2 linked regions of the Callithrix jacchus genome follow. The protein of the gene in region 2 interacts with the protein of the main gene of each other region in a pairwise test. Links are inferred from orthologs where the notes say so. Each region holds a gene or a part of one and is shown on either strand. Other genes may lie near its edges.

Region 1 (8,344 bases), about 21 Mb from region 2:
AATTCTCACCACCATTGAGATGGGTCCTGTTATTCAGTTATTCATGCAGTAGTCGTACATTATTTACTTACTGTTTTGAGGAAGAGTCTTGCTCTTTTGCCCAGGCTGGAGTGCAATGGCGTGATCTTGGCTCACTGCAACCTCCACCTCCTGAGTTCAAGGGATTCTCCTGACTCAGCCTCCCAGGTACCTGGGATTACAGGCACCCACTACACGCCTGGCTAATTTTTGTATTTTTAGTAGAGATGGGGTTTTACCATGTTGGCCAGGCTGGTCTCCAATTCTGACCTCAAGTGATCTGACCACCTTGGCCTCCCAAAGCATTGGGATTACTGGCATGAGCCACTGTGCCTGGTAAAAGTTGTAAATTATTTTCCCTATCATAAAATGACTTTACAAGCCATTATTTTCAAATGATAGTATGTTGATCAATAAATCACGAAGTGATTCAAAGCAGGTGAGGGTCACAGCTCATGAGAAAAGGATCACATTGGAAGTGCAGAACAACACCTTCAGGGAGGGCAGTATTTGAACAATAAAGAGTGGAAACACTTCTTATGGGTGTCTTCAACTGTATTTTGCTTCCAATTTATGTCATGGAAAATCCTTCCTGTGCTTCACAGGACATTTTAACGGGGTTACATCTAGCTGCCTTTTTTTTTTTTGATGGAGTCTTGCTCTGTCGCCAGGCCAGAGTGTGATGGCTTGATCTCGGCTCACTGCAGCTTCTGCCTCCTGGGTTAAAGCGATTCTCTTGCTTCAGCCTTCCCAGCAGCTGGATTACAGGCATGTGCCACCACGCCCAGCTAATTTTTGTATTTTCAGTAGAGACGGGGTTTCACCATGTTGCCCAGGATGGTCTCGATCTCTTGACCTCATGACCACCCTGCCTTGGCCTCCCAAAGTGCTGGGATTACAGGCGTGAGCCACCGCGCCCGGCCTCGAGCTGCTCTTATAATAAACCAGAAATGTGTAATAGCTCAAAACCAGCATGACTCTTGCTCACTCATGAAAAGGCCCACACGATCTTCCCACATGGCAGGCAGCTCCTTGTCCTTGGCCACCCAGGGACCCCAGCTCGCCCCTGGTTGGTCCACTTGGCTTCTATGTGCAGTTGGTAGCAGACCATGGACAAAGCACTCCCAACGGCTTCTCTCCACTGCCCCAGGCGAGAACACGCAGCGAGGTGCTCCTTGACATTGGTGGGGCTGGGGAACACAGTCCTTGTGAAGCAGCTACACACGGCCCTCTCTATGGCCTGGAGGAGAGCACAGCCCTTGCTGGATGGCTGACCTTCCCCACCGCACAGGAGAGGAAAGCCCAACATTTCTGTGGCAGACACGTGGGAGCAGAAGTCCACTTGAGAGGAGGGAAGGGGCCCTTTCCCAAGGGCCTCAGTGGTTAACGGGTCTAAAAGAATGGACCTGTGCCAGGCACAGTGGCTCACACCTGTAATCCCAGCATTTTTGGAGGCTAAGGTGGACAGATCACCTGAGGTCAGGAGTTTGAGACCAGCCTGGCCAACATGGTGAAACCCCGTATCTACTAAAAATACAAAAAATTAGCCGGGCATGGTGGTACATGCCTGTAATCCTAGCTACTTGGGAGGCTGAGGTCAGAGAATCACTTGAACCCGGGAGGCAGAAGTTGCAGTGGGCCAAGGCTGTGCCACTGCACTCCAGCCTGGGCGACAGAGGGAGACTCAGTCTCAAAAAAAAGAAAAAAAAAAGGACCCAGCCTTACAAGCATTTGGGAGCATGAGACTGAGGCAGGATTCGGTTCCTCTATGTGGCTCCCAGGCATTGAGAAAGGAATCCGGTTTCAGGAACATAAGACTGCTTTCAAAATATGTTTTATTTCTTTTTTAAATGTATTTTGCAAAATTTCCAAGGTAAACATGAGCTCCACATATAGAAAAAAAGAGTTCTTTAAGAACTAGCATTTAGTTCATCACAAGAATAATCAAATTATGACAACGGAAAATAAACTAAAGCCACCAAGCTGAAGTGAAGAGCTGTCTTTACAAAGATCCCTCTCAGCGAGCCTCTGCCCTGCAGCTGACTCAAGCCATCATGTATGTACGTCAGTAAGAAAGGACACTGGCTGGGTGCGGTGGCTCATGCCTGTAATCCCAGCACTTTGGGAGGCTGAGGCAGGTGTATTACCTGAGGTCAGGAATTCGAGACCAACTTGGCCAACATGGTGAAACCCTGTCTACTAATAATACAAAAACTAGCTGGGTATGGTGGTGCATGCCTGTAATCCTAGCTACTGGGGAGGCTGAGGCAAGAGAATTGCTTAAACCCGGGAGGCAGAAGCTGTAGTGAGCCGAGATGACGCCACTGCACTCCAGCCTGGCGACAGAGCAAGATGGAGAGAGAAACTTCATCTCCAAAACAAACAAACAAAAAAACAACAACAAAGAAAGGCCACTGGCACAGTACGGCAGCTTTGCAATTTCAAAGACTATTTTAGTGTTAGCTCCCATGAGTACATCTTCCACAGGCATTTGGTGCTTTGCACTATAGACTGTGATGGGTCAGTTCTGAAGTATGACCAAGAAGACATTCTCTTGGAGACACACTTTATATAAATCTAGTAATGTGCTAAACTGTCAAAGGTTAATGGTACTAAGCACACAGACATCATCTGGTAAAGGCTCTACATTTCCGCATCATCATCATCATCATCATCATCGTCGTCTTTGGCTCTGAAATGCATTTTTCTGAACTCTCGTCTGCTCATTGAAGGACAAGATGAAGACGCAGGTGGGAGGTCCTTAGAGGAGAAGAAAACACGGACTTCAGTCACGAGCAACACACATTTGCATCTGCAATGCACCCATCCACTTGCTTTGGGGCTGCAGAGCACTCTTCCCTTTTAGACGCGGGAAAGTGACTGAGTCCCAGCACTTTCTCTAGATAAGAGCTTCCTCCTTACTGGGCTGATGAAGCAGAGAAGGGAAGATGCTGGGTTCAAAACAAAAGAGAAAGCAACAGAAAGTGTGGGATGGACGCTCCAGAAACCACAAACCTGATTCCATGAAAACATACCTGTGGCTTCGGGAGGAGACCGCCCCCCTTCCCCCGCCACAGCCTTTCCTCATGGCAATGATTCTCAGCTTGGGAGACGGAGGGAGTGCTCCCAATTAGCCAACGGTTTCATTTCCTCCTCTGGGGTTAAAATGATTAACTGACGTTGAATTTTTTGTCAAGGCATTATTTACATGCAGTAAGTGGGCAGTGTGCTGCTTGGCTGCCTGATGCCCTCGGAAAGAGGAAGGGGCCACTCTTACCTGCATGAGCTCAACGTTTCCAAAGAAGCGGCTCACGGGCATTGGCTGGTTGCTGTCATCATCTAGGAAGATGCTGTTGTCCATCTGAAGTGGTGGCTTCTGCATGTCCTCTCCCTCCAGCCCTGACTCATTCTGCTTCTGCACAGTGGAGCTGCTGTTGGATTCTTCTGCCCCTGCCCCAGCACTGTGTTTCGGCAGGGATAGGCCACCTTCAGTCTTTGCTAAGCGAGAGTCACTCACAGCTCTGCAGCCACCAAGGGGCAGATTTGCAGCCTCCTGCTGCACAGAAACTCCAGCCTCACCTCCTGGAAGCAAGGCCCTGCCTTCAGCAAACTCATCTTCACAAGGGGTCTCCGGTGTCACTTTTGGCAAAGAAGCGGTGTCATTCTTAGGGACAAGCTTCTGTAATTCTGACTTCACAAGATGACCTTTGTCACACTTGAACTTCTTGGACATTCGCCTGTCTGTGGCTTTGTGGGATGAGGAAGTCTGTCAAGAAAAAAATATCAGGGGACCAGACACATGTAGCAAATGAACCAGGCCTTGGTGCAGAGGCTAGTACTTCTCCTCACGTGTGAAATGAGAAGGCCACAACCTTCACGGATCGCCATTTCACTGTTCTGCCGCCAACAGACAAAATCCAAGTGAGGCTGCGACTGAATCCAGACATGCCCCAACAGCACTCCTCCACTTTGTTTTCCTAGAGGCATCACAGTTCCCGAGGGGAATTCTGAAGCATGGATTTATATATTATACAATTACAATGAAAGAACCAGCTTTCATGCATTTCTGCTATGGCAAAAGCTCCGTGAAGGCAGGGGTCTTTGCTTTATTCGCTGAATACTGTCTGGCACACAGTAGGTGCTTAAAAATATTTGCTAAATTGACTTTGACAAATTTTTACCAAACCCCTCATTATGAGCAAAACTGTGCTAGAGGCTGGCATATGGCCAAGTCCCAACCCCTCAGCTGCAGCTCTGGGCTCAGTGGCGCAGCTCTACTTCACCAGTAAGTTCAGGAACTCACTCCTCGGAAATGACAGCTACGCTAGGTTGAACGGCATTTGACGTGAGCATCCTTTTCCCACCCACTCTGCCTTTCTCTTAAAGCCTCTGGGGGTGAGGCGGCATGGCAACAGGCCAACAAGACTCAACAGCTGACCTAAGAGCAGAGCTACGAGCACAAGTGGTCTCAGAGCCTGGGTCTAGACACACACACACAGGTGGGCAGGTGCTAGGATAGAGCCTGGGTCTAGAGACACACACACACACACACACATACACACGGGCGGGCAGGTGCTAGGATAGAGCCTGGGTCTAGAGACAGAGAGAGAGAGAGAGAGAGAGAGAGAGAGAGAGAGAGAGAGAGAGACACACACACACACACACACACACACACACACACACGGGTGGCCTGTCGAGTGTGTCTTTCCCTGAAGACAATTAGAGTGCTGCCACCTTTTCATCTGAAATACTCCCCCTCTGGCAGATAAGCAACATTTGATATTTTCCTAAAGCGACACATCTTGGAATGACAATTTTGTATGAAAATGGACCCTTGAGTCAGGAACTTGGCGTTCTCCATGGTAACAGGGCTCACCAGACATGCTGTCTTGGCAGACGTGGAACCAGCGACTTCCTGGGCAGAGGCCAACCCGGTTGCTGAACAATTTCGGGCTTTCAGGCGTGCTGAAGACCGCACTCCACCTGTGAGCTAGATCAGATCGAGAGCCAGTCAGAGAGTGCTCTGCGGAAAGCAGCATGAATGCGCAGAGGAGAATTTCCCACTTACAGATAACCGAAGACAGCCCCTCCTACTCCCACGGAGTATCATCTTTGTGGAGACACCTGTGGCCTGAATGAGCAAATCCGAACAAAACTGTGCCTAGGTTTAAGATACAGGAGCTACTCTTCCCAGGATCTCAGAGGCTTGGGGCAATCTGGTCCCTTATCTTGCATGTTTCTAGTAACCACTATGTGTACATTAGTGGAACTTAAGTCAACTTCAAAGTGTTCAGAATAAGCAGGACATGCCCTCCCTGAGAGGGAGCTGCAACTTTTCTACATTGTCAAAGTTCTTGAGAAAAGGCAGCATGAGAAAACCAAAGCTTCTCTCCCTCAAATTAGAGTCCTATTCTATTAGTGGAAAGCAGCAAGCTACTGTCTCACAAATCTTCATATTAACAAACTGCTCTACTCCTCTTTCACTCTGAATGCAATGCAAACTCTTCTAATAACAAGAAAGAAATTAAAGACACAACACTTTAACTATTTAGGAATAATTTTAGGTTTTCAGAAAAGTTGCAAAAAGTAGTACAAAGAAACGGGTGTGATGGCTCACACCTGTCATCACAGCTACTTGGGAGTCTGAGGCAGGATTGTTTGAGGCCAGGAGTTCAAGACCAGCCTGGGCAACACAGCAAGATCCCATCTCTAAAATATTAAAAAAAAAAAATTAGCCAGGTGGGGTGGTGTACACCTGTAGTTCCAGGTATATGGGAGGCTGAGGTGAGAGGATCACTTGATCCCAGGAGTTTGATGCTGCAGTGAGCTATGACTGTCCCACTGCACTCCACCTGGGTGACAAAGACCGTGTCTCTGAAAAAATAATGATAAAAAAATAGTACAGAGAGTTGCTATGTAGCCTTCACTCTGCTTCCACTAATGTTAAAACAACTACAGGACATTTGTCAACATTCAGAAATTAGTGGCCAGATGGGGTGGCTCACACCTGTAATCCCAGCACTTTGAGAGGCCAAGGTGGGTGGATCATCTGAGGTCAGAGTTCGAGACCAGCCTGGCCAACATGGTGAAACCCTGTCTCTACTAAAGTACAAAAATTAGCCGGGCATGGTGGCGCATGTCTGTAGTCTCAGCTGCCTGGGAGAATCGCTTGAACCCAGGAAGCCGAAGTTGCAGTGATCTCAGATTGCGCTATTACACTCCAGCCTGGGTGACAGATGGAGACTCCATCTCAAAAAAAAAAAAAAGAAAGAAAGAAATTAGCAACAGCACAGTACTCTTCACTAAATTATAGACTTTACTTGTGTTTTATCAGTTTCTCCATGAACTGTTTCTCTGCTCCAGAATCCAGTCTAGAATATCACATTGCACTCAGAAGATGATACGTTTTAAAGCTCACCTTAAAACTCAAAAGAAATGAGTGTGGGTAGCAGAAGCAATAAATAGGAGCAATGCAGGCTGGAACGGCCAGGAAAGGCCCAAGAGCTACTGCCGACAGGCCCTAGAACTGGAACCCAGAGGGATGGATGAAGAGTGCTCTGCCCAACAGCAGATAAGAGAAATTAAAAAGGAAACAAGAATGACACACAGAAATAAGCCATCTTCACCATCAGCCCGTAGCCCAAGACAGCTCCGGAAGCCCTGGGAAGTGGCAGCTCCAAGATGCCATGATACTGTGGCAGTTGGAGTTGCATTTAAAACGGGGAAGAGCAGGCAGCAGCCGACAGGAGGCCAGGACACCTGCCAGCTATACACAAGACAAATCAGGTGCCCACAGGCCCGTGAAGCACCTGCTACCATGGCACACCAGGGGCTGGGCCTCCATCCTCTCATGAGGGCAGGGCTTTGCTGAGAGCCTCGGCAGACGTCATGATCACAGCTACACCAAGGGAGCTGAGGCAACAGAGGTAACAGAACTTGCTAAGAGTTGCCATAAACACCTTTCATTAAAATCCTCCCACTGGGTCTGAAGCCCATCTCTCTAAAATGTCATCATGAGCCTCATAGGGAAAAGACACCTCTGTTCTAGAAAGCCACTGCCCATTCTCTCCTCCCTGCTGGGACCCCTCCTCCAGACACTGCACTGCCCTGCGCTGGAATATGCTGTGGGGAGCCAAGCTCCGTGCCTGAGCAGCTTTAAAGGAACGGTACCCACATTTCAGATGAGAACTTGGGTAAGGAGCTTATAAGATTACACAAGTGATGCCTGGCCTCCAAATCTCTCTTCCATCACCATAGCTCACCCCAGATATGACTCCCAAAAACTGCCTGAGGTGGGGACTGAACTCTGTTCTGCACCTGCGGGTCTCAGCGTTCTGTGCCTGCAGGTCCGTGTTCTGCACCTGCGGGTCTCAGTGTTCTGTGCCTGCAGGTCCGTGTTCTGCACCTGCGGGTCTCAGCGTTCTGTGCCTGCAGGTCTGTGTTCTGCACCTGCGGGTCTCAGCGTTCTGTGCCTGCAGGTCCGTGTTCTCCGCCTGCGGGTCTCAGCGTTCTGTGCCTCCAAGTCTGCGTCTGTGTGTTCTGAGCTTGCGGGTCTCAGCGTTCCACGCCTGCGTGTCTGTGTGTTCTGTGCCTGCAGGTCCGTGTTCCGCGCCTGCGGGTCTCAGCGTTCTGCGCCTCCAAGTCTGCGTCTGTGTGTTCTGAGCTTGCGGGTCCGTGTTCCGCGCCTGCGGGTCTCAGCGTTCTGTGCCTGCAGGTCCATGTTCTCTGCCTGTGGGTCTCAGCGTTCTGTGCCTGCAGGTCCGTGTTCTCTGCCTGCGGGTCTCAGCGTTCTGCGCCTCCAAGTCTGCGTCTGTGTGTTCTGAGCCTGCGGGTCTCAGCGTTCCACGCCTGCGTGTCTGTGTGTTCTGTGCCTGCAGGTCCGTGTTCCGCGCCTGCGGGTCTCAGCGTTTTGTGCCTGCAGGTCCGTGTTCTGTGCCTGCGGGTCTCAGCGTTCTGTGCCTGCATGTCTGCGAGTTCCGTGCCTGCATGTCTGCGAGTTCTGTGCCTGCATGTCTGCGAGTTCTGTGCCTGCATGTCTGTGAGTTCCGTGCCTGCGCATCTGTGTGTTCTGCGCCTGCAGGTCCGTGTTCCGCGCCTGCGGGTCTCAGCGTTCTGTGCCTGCAGGTCTGTGTTCCGTGCCTGCTCATCTGTGTGTTCTGCGCCTGCAGGTCCGTGTTCTATGCCTGCCAGTCTGTGTGTTCTGCACCTGCAGTTCTTTTCCTGAAGCAGGTGCGTCTCAAAGATTCCATCAGCATCTTGGCAGCAGTGGTTCTGAACTCTTCATGTGTGACTGGCTCATCAGGTGACCTTTTGGCCCCTTCTGCAG
Region 2 (9,109 bases):
ACTCTGGGAGGCCAAAGTGGGTGGATCAAGAGGTCAAGAGATCGAGACCATGGTAAAACCCCGTCTCTACTAAAAAATACAAAAATTAGCTGGGCGTGGTAGCGTGTACCTGTAGTCCTAGCTACTTGGGAGGCTGAGGCAAGAGAATTGCTTGAACCTGAGAGGCAGAGGTTGCAGTGAGCTGAGATCGTGCCACTGCACTCCACCCTGGTGCCTGGTGACACAGCAAGACTGTCTCAAAAAAAAAAAGAAAAGAAAAAAAAACTTTATGAGCTAATGCCTAGTTACTATAACAACTGCTGGATCTGGACTCAGCACTAAATAATATGTTTATTTATTTATTTTTGAGACAGGGTCCCACTCCATGATCTGGGCTAGAGTGCAATGGTGCAATCATGGGTCACTGCAGTCTTGAACTGGACTCTAGCAATCCTCCTGCCTCAGTCTCCTGAGTAGCTAGAACTATAGGTGCATGCCACCATGCTCAGCTAATAAATCTTGTTTAAATATCTTTGCTTTTCTACTTCAAAAGAGATCATGCATCTTAATCTCTAAAACTAAATGTAAAGTTTGGCAAAGTTCTATCCACTTTTTTTTTCTGAGACAGGGTCTGGCTCTGTCGCCAGGCTGGAGTGCAGTGGCCCAATCTAGGCTTCCTGCAACCTCTGTCTCCTGGGCTCAAGTGATCCTCCCACCTCAGCTTCCCAAACAGCTGGGACCAGAGGTGTGCACCACCACACCTGGCTAACTTTTTGTACTTTTTGTAGAGATGGGGTTTCGCCATTTTGCCCAGGCTGGTCTTGAACTCCTGAGCTCAAGTGATTCACTGACTTCAGCTTCCCAAAGTGCTGGAATTATAGGCGTGAGCCACCATGTTGGGCTTTCTATCCCCCTTTTTGTTTGTTTTTGTTTTGTTTTGGAGATGGAGTCTCATTCTGTCACCCAGGCTAGAGTGCAGAGGTGTGATCTTGGCTCACTGCAATCCCTGCCTCCCAGGTTCAAGAAATTCTCCTGCCTCAGCTTCCTAAGTAGCTGGGAATACAGGCACATGCCGCTATGCCTGGCTAAATTTTTGTATTTCAGTAGAGATGGGGTTTCACCATGTTGCCAAGGCTGGTCTCAGACTCCTGAGCTCAGGTAATCTGCCTGCCTCAGCCTCCCAAAGTGCTAGGATTACAGGTGTGAGCCACCGTGCCCAGCCTCTATCCACTTTTAAGAGAAAACAGAGTAAGAATGTTTCCAATATTTTCTATCAATTCAACTTACATAATAAGCACTTTTAGAAAAGCAAACAAAACATAAAAAAATTAGCTGGGTGTGGTGGCAGGCACCTTAGTCCCAACTACTCAGAAGGCTGAGGCAGGAAAATCACTGGGAAGTGGAGGTTGCAGTGAGCCGAGATCACACCACCGCACTCTAGCCTGAGCAACAGAGCAAGACTCCATCTCAAAAAAAATAATAATAATAACTTCAGGGCACAGAGTGCTAAATTGTAATATAAATTAAATTCTCAAGACTAATATTTGCTCATCATACAGAGAAACTTGCAAGTTTCTTAATATATACATTCATGTATTTGTTTTGTTGTTCCTACTCCAAAAGCTTTTCTTCTTTTAAAAACAGGTTTTGTTTGAGACAGAATCTTGCTCTGTCACCCAGGCTGCAGTGCAGTGGCACAATGTCAGCTCACTGCAACCTCTGCCTCCTGGATTCAAGCAATCCTTCCACCTCAGCCTCTCAAGTAGGTGGGACTATAAGGTGCATGCCACCACACCTAAAAATTTTTTTTTTGCACAGATGAGGTTTCGCTATATTATCCAGGCTGGTCTTGAACTCCTGGGTTCAAGTGATACTCCTGCCTCCTGCCTCTGCCACCTAAAGTGTTGTGTAAGCCACTGCACCTAGCCAAAAGAGCCTTTTTTTTTTTGAGACAGAGTCTCGCTCTGTCCCCCATGCTGGAATGCAAAGGTGTCATCTCGGCCTGCTGCAGCCTCTGCCTCCTGGGTTCAAGAGATTTTCCTGCCTCAACCTTCTGAGTAGTTAGGATTACAGTTGCACATTACCATGCCAGGCTAATTTTTGTATTTTTTTAGTAGAGACAGGGTTTTGCCATGTTGGCCAGGCTGGTCTCACAGGCGTGATGAGCCCATAGCACCCCGCCCAAAAGCAGACTTTGAATGGCAAAAGTCTCATGGTAAATTCTGAATTTAGATGCACTCAAAGTTGTTTTCTTTTCCAAGAATGACTAGCTTTAAGAAATTTTGCAGCCAGGCGTGGTGGCTCAAGCCTGTAATCCCAGCACTTTGGGAGGACGAGGCAGGCGGACTGCCTAAGCTCAGGAGTTCAAGACCAGCCTGGGCAACATGGTGAAACCCCGTCTCTATCCAAAAAAAAAAAAAAGAAATTTTGCCCTAACCTTTAACAAGCTATATCTTAATATCTTTTTTTATTCTTTGAGTATAGAGCTACTAGAGATTTAAATTTCTGACAGAAGCCAACAAAAGAAAAACAGAAAAGCTTTTCCATTTACCCAGGTTTACAGAAGAGTAATTTGGAAGTTAAGAGAGCATAAGCTTTAGCTGCCAGTCTTAGCTCCAGCTCCCAATTCTACCACTTACTAGGTATGTAACTTTGGATAAATTCATTATCTATCCTAAGCCTCAGTTTCTTCATTTGTAGTGAAGATAATAATAGTCCTTTCCTCATAGGATTGTTTTGAGCAACTGCTTTTAAAGCACTTAACACAGAGCATGGAACTGAGTGGGAATTCAAATGTTAGCTATTAGCACTGTTAATAACATTCAGGTGTTAAACCACGTACTTCATGAAAATTAACTGGAATTGCATGGTGAAGAAACCAAATATCCCTCTAAAACAGCAAAGGCTGACATTCAAACCAGCGATTTATAAAAGAGATGCCCAATTACCTAAGGGTGTTGCTATTGGTTGTGGAGTTTTTCCTTTTCTTCTGTCAAGTCCAGAATTATTGATTTCAAAGAAATGAAGTTATTAGACTGTAGTCTCAAGCACTTCTCTAGCTCCTATCTTGCCCCATTCCTATGCAGACTGGCAAGTACCATTGCATAACAGGTGGCTTATGTTATTTTTAGGTATGTGCATCACAGGTTTAAATAAAACCTTGTTTTAAAGCAAACATCTACTCAATTCTTGGCAGACACTTATCTACTTCTAACTACAAAACACCTGCATTTAAAGGGAAATGTTTGACCCTGTCATTCCTCTTGCTGACCAATGCCATGTTCGAATCATTTCTATTTCCCAATCAACAACACATACCTGTAAATAAAGGGAAGAATTAGAGCCGTGGGACATCTTTTGCACCATCCCATCCTTTTGTAGGATGCATTCCTCCAAGTGAATCACATTTGGATGTTGGCTCTTGATACTGCTTAGTGCCCAGAACTCACGAAGAGCTAGTTCAACATTTTCAGGTGCGTGACATCGAATTTTCTTCACTGCCACCCGTGCAGAAGTCTTTCTGATGACTGCTTCATACACAACACCGTAACTACCTCGGCCTACCTCCCGTATTAGATCGTACTTTGGCTGGCTACTCACCATCTTCAAGGTCGAGGTTTCTGGAAAAATCAACAAAGTGCTCTGTTGAAATTATGTATACCTACTGGCTTGTATTTCCTTTTATATATGATTTGCTTGTCATCTGTTTCACTGTCTGCAGTGCTTGAGGGATATTTGCTATATCTAGGGAAAATCTAATTTTAAGAATAGTAACAATAAAGCTAACAGGTAGTATTTACTATGTATCAGGAACTGTTTTAAACTCTTTCGAATATTAAATTTGGTTAATCCTCATAATAATCTTATGAGGTAGATACTAGTATGGTCTTTTTATAGATGAAACTATGTAATGGAGAGGTTAAAGGAAATGCCTAAGGTCAATAGCTAGTAACTCATGGAACTGGGATTTTAAATCAGGCCATCTGCCTCAGACAACCACAATTTTAAGCACTACAGTATACTGTCTCTTGTATGAACTGCTTGAAAAATGTCACTGTTAAAAATACATTCCCAAAATTCAGCATTCTTATCCACTGATCAGGAAAAAACAAGCAAGCAAGCAAAATCCCAGCTTCTCCTTCAGGCTGACACAGACATAATGGTCATAAAACAGCAAAAACAAAACCCCCTCACAGTTAGAAATACAAACACCTGGCTTATGCTTAAGGCCTGACAGTGAACCAGAACATTTATAGAACTGAAAATGTTTGTTTTCATTATGCAAAAGTGGCCAAACTTTTATTCATATTTTAATTTTGTTTCTTATGTCATCTCCTTATTTCTTACAAAATAAATGAAAATAAACTTTATGGAGAAGAAACTTTTTTTTTGAGACGCAGTTACCCAGGCTGGAGTGCAATGGTGCGATCTCGGCTCACCGCAACCTCCGCCTCCTGGGTTCAGGCAATTCTCCTCCCTCAGCTTCCTGAGTAGCTGGGATTACAGGACGAGCCACCATGCCCAGCTAATTTTTTGTATTTTTAGCAGAGACGGGTTTCACCATGTTGACCAGGATGGTCTTGATCTCTTGACCTCGTGATCCACCCGCCTCGGCCTCCCAAAGTGCTGGGATTACAGGCGTGAGCCACCGCGCCCAGCCCGAAACTTTTCTTTAAAAATAAAGCAAGCTACTTAGAATACAGTTACCTTTTGTAGTCATTTAACAATAGCTATTTAAAATTTTTTACTTATGTTTCCTTTTTACTAATCAGAAGAGAGCTGGAGTAAACAATAGTTCTAGGTCATTTTTGCCAACAAAAAATATTCTGTGGGCCGGGCGCGGTGGCTCACGCCTGTAATCCCAGCACTTTGGGAGGCCGAGGCGGGCGGATCACTAGGTCAAGAAATCGAGACCATCCTGGTCAACATGGTAAAATCCTGTCTCTTAAAAAAAAAAAAAAAAAAAAAAAAAAAAAGTCCTGCATATCAATGGGCTCTCTAACAGAGTTCTTGGGAATTCAACTTAGTGAATGGTTTAAAGGCGAGAGCAAAGGCCCTATACAGAAATACTCATGTGTTGAATAAAGACAGTCTAAAGTGTGCTTCCTTACTCCCCAAAGAATTTCTAGATTCTAACGAACTTCACGAACGAATTCGCTTTTGTAGATTGTTGCCACGGGCAAGAAAAGTAACCTGAGATTGTACAATATTTATTCTGTTCAGCTGGGAAATGCAAAAAGCTACTGACCCTAGAGCCTGAGAAGTTGGGATCCGCTGCGTTAAGTCCATAGGATAGATTTAATCAAGAAAGGACTTCTGAGATTGCTTTCAGTCCCACTTCCTCTAACCGGACACCCACCCTTCAAATCGCTACCGAATTTCCTAGTGTCTGATTTCCTGCCACAGAATCCTCTGCCCCGACTGTACAGCAGACGAGTTTTCCTGCTCTTCGGCGATCGCCAGTCACATCCACTCAAGGTGGTTCGTGTCTCTGAAGCAGTCCCATGTCCTCTCCAGCCAGGTACAGTCCCCATAGGGAGGAGCACCTTCCCGAATAGGGAGGAGGGGTGTTTATGAAACCCGTGGGATCCCGGATCGAATGATGCATCCGGTGCGAACCTAAGCGACTTTCGACGGCAAGTGGCGGGACCTCGCTCTCGCCTTTCTAACCTGGCGCCGGGACGCGGGCCGGCCAGGCCAGACACCTGCCGGCGCCCGTGAAGGGCCAGTCCGGGCCAGAGGTGTTGTCCGACGCGGCGGCTCAGGCCGCGCTCATTGGCCAAGTGTCAGGCCCTCCCCCTCCTCGGCCGCGCTCAGATGAAGCCCGGAGGGGAGGCTCCCGAGCCCCTTTGCCCAGAGGAGCCAGCCCTGCAGCTGCCTCAACTCCTCGGGGCCGGGGGCTGAGGGCCGGGGCTTGGGGAGGTGGCCCAGGTGTGAGAGGAGGCCGCGGCTAGGGCCGGTGGCCTGAGGGGCGCGGGGCCTTCCCCAGGATGACTCCACTGACAGGTCTGTGACAGGCCTCCCGGGGAGGGAGGCACATGCAGGGCCGTCGGCACTGCAGCAGGGCCTCTCCACCACGCCGAAGAGCCAGATTTACCTCAGGGTAGACGCTGCCGCTTCTCCCTCTCACGGGCTCTGCAGGCCGCCATTATCGGGCAGCTCGCGCCTCCGCTGCAGCCGCCGCCTCCAGTCAGCGGCCGGCGCGCGCCCCCGTGGTGCGCGCGGACACACCCCCTTACGCTGGCGGCCCCGCCCCCCTCCGGCTTTCCGTAGTGCGAGCCGGTAAGTTCCGCGCCACTGATCAGGCGCGTGGCCGGCCCTCCGCTCGCCACCTCCCTCTCCCGAGGATTTGCAGATCCTGGAGTCGGAGGTGTACGCGCTACGGAGCGCACCACTGGTGCTGCTCTCCGCAGGGGTGGCCGGGTCCGAGAACCGCGAGGCCATGCCACGCGGGGTCTCGGTCACCCTCCAGCCGCAGCGGGCGCGTAGGGCACGCGGCCCCGGGGACGGTCTGCAGCAGCAGGCCCTGGCCTGGGGCTGCGTGCGCCCCGCCGTGGCCTCCCCTCCCCCTCGCCACCCCCCTTCCAACCTACCGAGCTGCGGGCTGGGATGCGGGGCTCGCTGGGGTGGTACGCCGCTTGCATCTTCTGCGCGGGCCTTGGGTGCTTGCGGGGCGCGGTGCTGCTTTGGCGGGCCCGCGTGGAGGCGCGGCCCGAGCAAGAAGGTCTGGCGTCCGCCCCGCCGGGAGGGAGGCTGCAGCTTTTGTCCGAGTCACTGAGCCATGTTTGCGGACGATGCAGTTGCCGAGAAGGCGGCAGCGGCGCGGGGCTGAGTGCGATCATCTGGGAAGACGTCGTCCCCTGCCCCGCCGGCGCGGTGGTATCTCCCTTAAAGAAGCCGGCGCCTCATTGTTTCCCGGTGGTGGCAGCAGGGAGCCAGGGCCCCCTGCCTGGCGCTGGGAGGGAGGGGACGGTGACGCCCGCACCTGGCTGCAGTGACCGCGGCGTCCCCCCGAGGTTCCTGGTGGAGGGTCGGTCTGCAGTCGGCGCGCGGAAGAGGCCTCGGTCCGAGCCCAGATCCACCGCGCTCCGGGCCCTTTCGAGACAGGACGGTCAATGGGAGTTCCGCCGCTGCTGCAGTCGCCCGGGTGCCACACGCTGTCAGTCAGATCCTGCACGCTGTCGGCCCCACAGCCAGCGCGGGGTCACTCAGGCCCGGACCTCTCAGTCATCCAGTTGTTAGATCAGTAAGCATCCGCCAGAAACGTCCATTCCTTCTTCCCCGATTTATTTTGCACCGATTACTTGTCAGCAAGGTGATGGTTCCTCCTCCTAGCGCTCGCTCTATAAGGCACGATGTATAAAGAATCCCTGTCGCTGTGCTCAAAGATCAACCCGTTTTATTTTCTGTTCTCCATTTATGCTATTTCTCCCGAGAGTCTGAGATTATCTTTACATATATAAATTATCTTGTTTAACCCTAACCTAACCCCACAAGGGGAGGTTTTATTATCCTATTTTTGCAGATGAGGAAACACCTCTGCCTCTTTTTACTGAAGTGTCTTTTTTGGGGTGTGTCTACCTTGAATACCCACTCCCCGGTGTAATACTCTGTCCCCTTAAAAAACCCCACATTGGTTCTGTAATCTGTTCAGACTTTTGTCCTGAGTGCCATCCAAGTGTCAGGTCTTCAGCTGTTTGCTGGAAACACTGGTGACAGGCCAAGACTTATTTCCCGCCCTCAAAAGTAAAGGGAAAATTTCGGGTCGCGGTGGCTCACACCTATAATCACAGCACTTGGGGAGGCTAAGGCGGGTGGATCACAAGGTCAAGAGATCGAGACCATTCTGGTCAACAAGGTGAAACCCCGTCTCCACTAAAAATACAAAAATCAGCTGGGCGTGGTGATGCGCGCCAGCTACTCGGGAGGCTGAGGCAGGAGAATTGCTTGAACCCAGGAGGCAGAGGTTTCAGTGAGCCGAGATCGTGCCATTGCACTCCAGTCTGGGTAACAACAGCGAAACTCCATCTCAAAAAAAAAAAAATAAAGGGAAAATATAGAAGGCTTTGTGTACACAGCTAGCTACCTGTGTGGGTTATTGATCCAAATCGGGAGGGACCTCTCTCAAAGTAGCGTTTGTGTTTTCTTTGTGTGTCATTGAATATCATAGGAACTCTTGCTCTCAAGTTAGCTGCAGATGAGATTTGAAATCCACCCTCATTCTCAAATTTAGGCTCGCTGTAAAGTCCGTGAGGTGGGTTCAGGTCTTGTGGGGCCTGAAACTTAAATAATTTGCGGTGTCCTTAGGGAAAAGGTTATACAATGGCCCTGTGAACACATACCTGGAACACTGGAAAGGGTCCCTATAAGCAAAGGACTCCAAAGCTAAAGATTAATTAGCTTCAGGGTGAATCTGCCTCCTGCTTAGTATGTTATGTCATTTTTTGTTGTTGTTGCCCGTAGGCCTCCTAAAAGACTGAGAATTCCTGCGGATAGGAATCTTTGTGATTCATCTCTGCAGCCTCCTCAATCTGATATGATATCAAAATACACCTGCATTCTCATACATTGCTGGTGGGAAGGCAAAGTGATATAACTGTTAACAAAGAAGTTTGGCAATATATAGCCATATTATTTGATCCAGTAACCCTAGATCAAATACTAGATTTCGAGGAATCTATCCTGGTAATATACTGGTAAACACACACACACACACACACACAACAACAAACCTGTATGTACAAGGCTATTCATTATTGCTTTAATGAATAGCAAAAGATTGGAAACCGCTTGCATGTCTAATAATAAAGAACTGATTGAATAAATTACAGTACATACATAGGCTGAAGTACTATACTGCTGCGAAAAGGTATGTGCAAGAGGCCAGGCGTGGTAGCTTACACAGGTACTCCTAGCACTCTGGAAGGCTGAGGTGGGCATATCACTTGAGGTCAGGAGTTTGAGACCAGCCTGGCCAACATGGTGAAACCCCATCTCTACTAAAAATATAAAAATTAGGTGGGCATGATGATGTGCACCTGTAGTCCCCGCTACTTGGGAGGTTGAGGCAGGAGAATCTCTTGAACCTGGGAGATAGAGGTTGCAGTGAGCCAAGGTCACACGACTGCAC

What was found.
Region 1: the proteins of PDIK1L (region 2) and C7H1orf174 interact in binary tests that used the Homo sapiens proteins (3 or more experiments, as listed by UniProt). The two-hybrid records come from large-scale screens. The link is inferred for Callithrix jacchus from reciprocal best matches to the Homo sapiens genes PDIK1L and C1orf174.

Annotation. Positions count from the first base shown.
Region 1 is NC_133508.1:41,762,529-41,770,872, forward strand, and holds the end of C7H1orf174 (UPF0688 protein C1orf174 homolog), read right to left. Parts: intron 5,009-8,344; coding exon 4,895-5,008; intron 3,785-4,894; coding exon 3,296-3,784; intron 2,779-3,295; coding exon 2,662-2,778; 3' UTR 1,837-2,661; downstream 1-1,836.
Region 2 is NC_133508.1:62,761,728-62,770,836, reverse strand, and holds the start of PDIK1L (serine/threonine-protein kinase PDIK1L), read right to left. Parts: upstream 6,106-9,109; 5' UTR 5,514-6,105; coding exon 5,339-5,513; intron 3,600-5,338; coding exon 3,298-3,599; intron 1-3,297.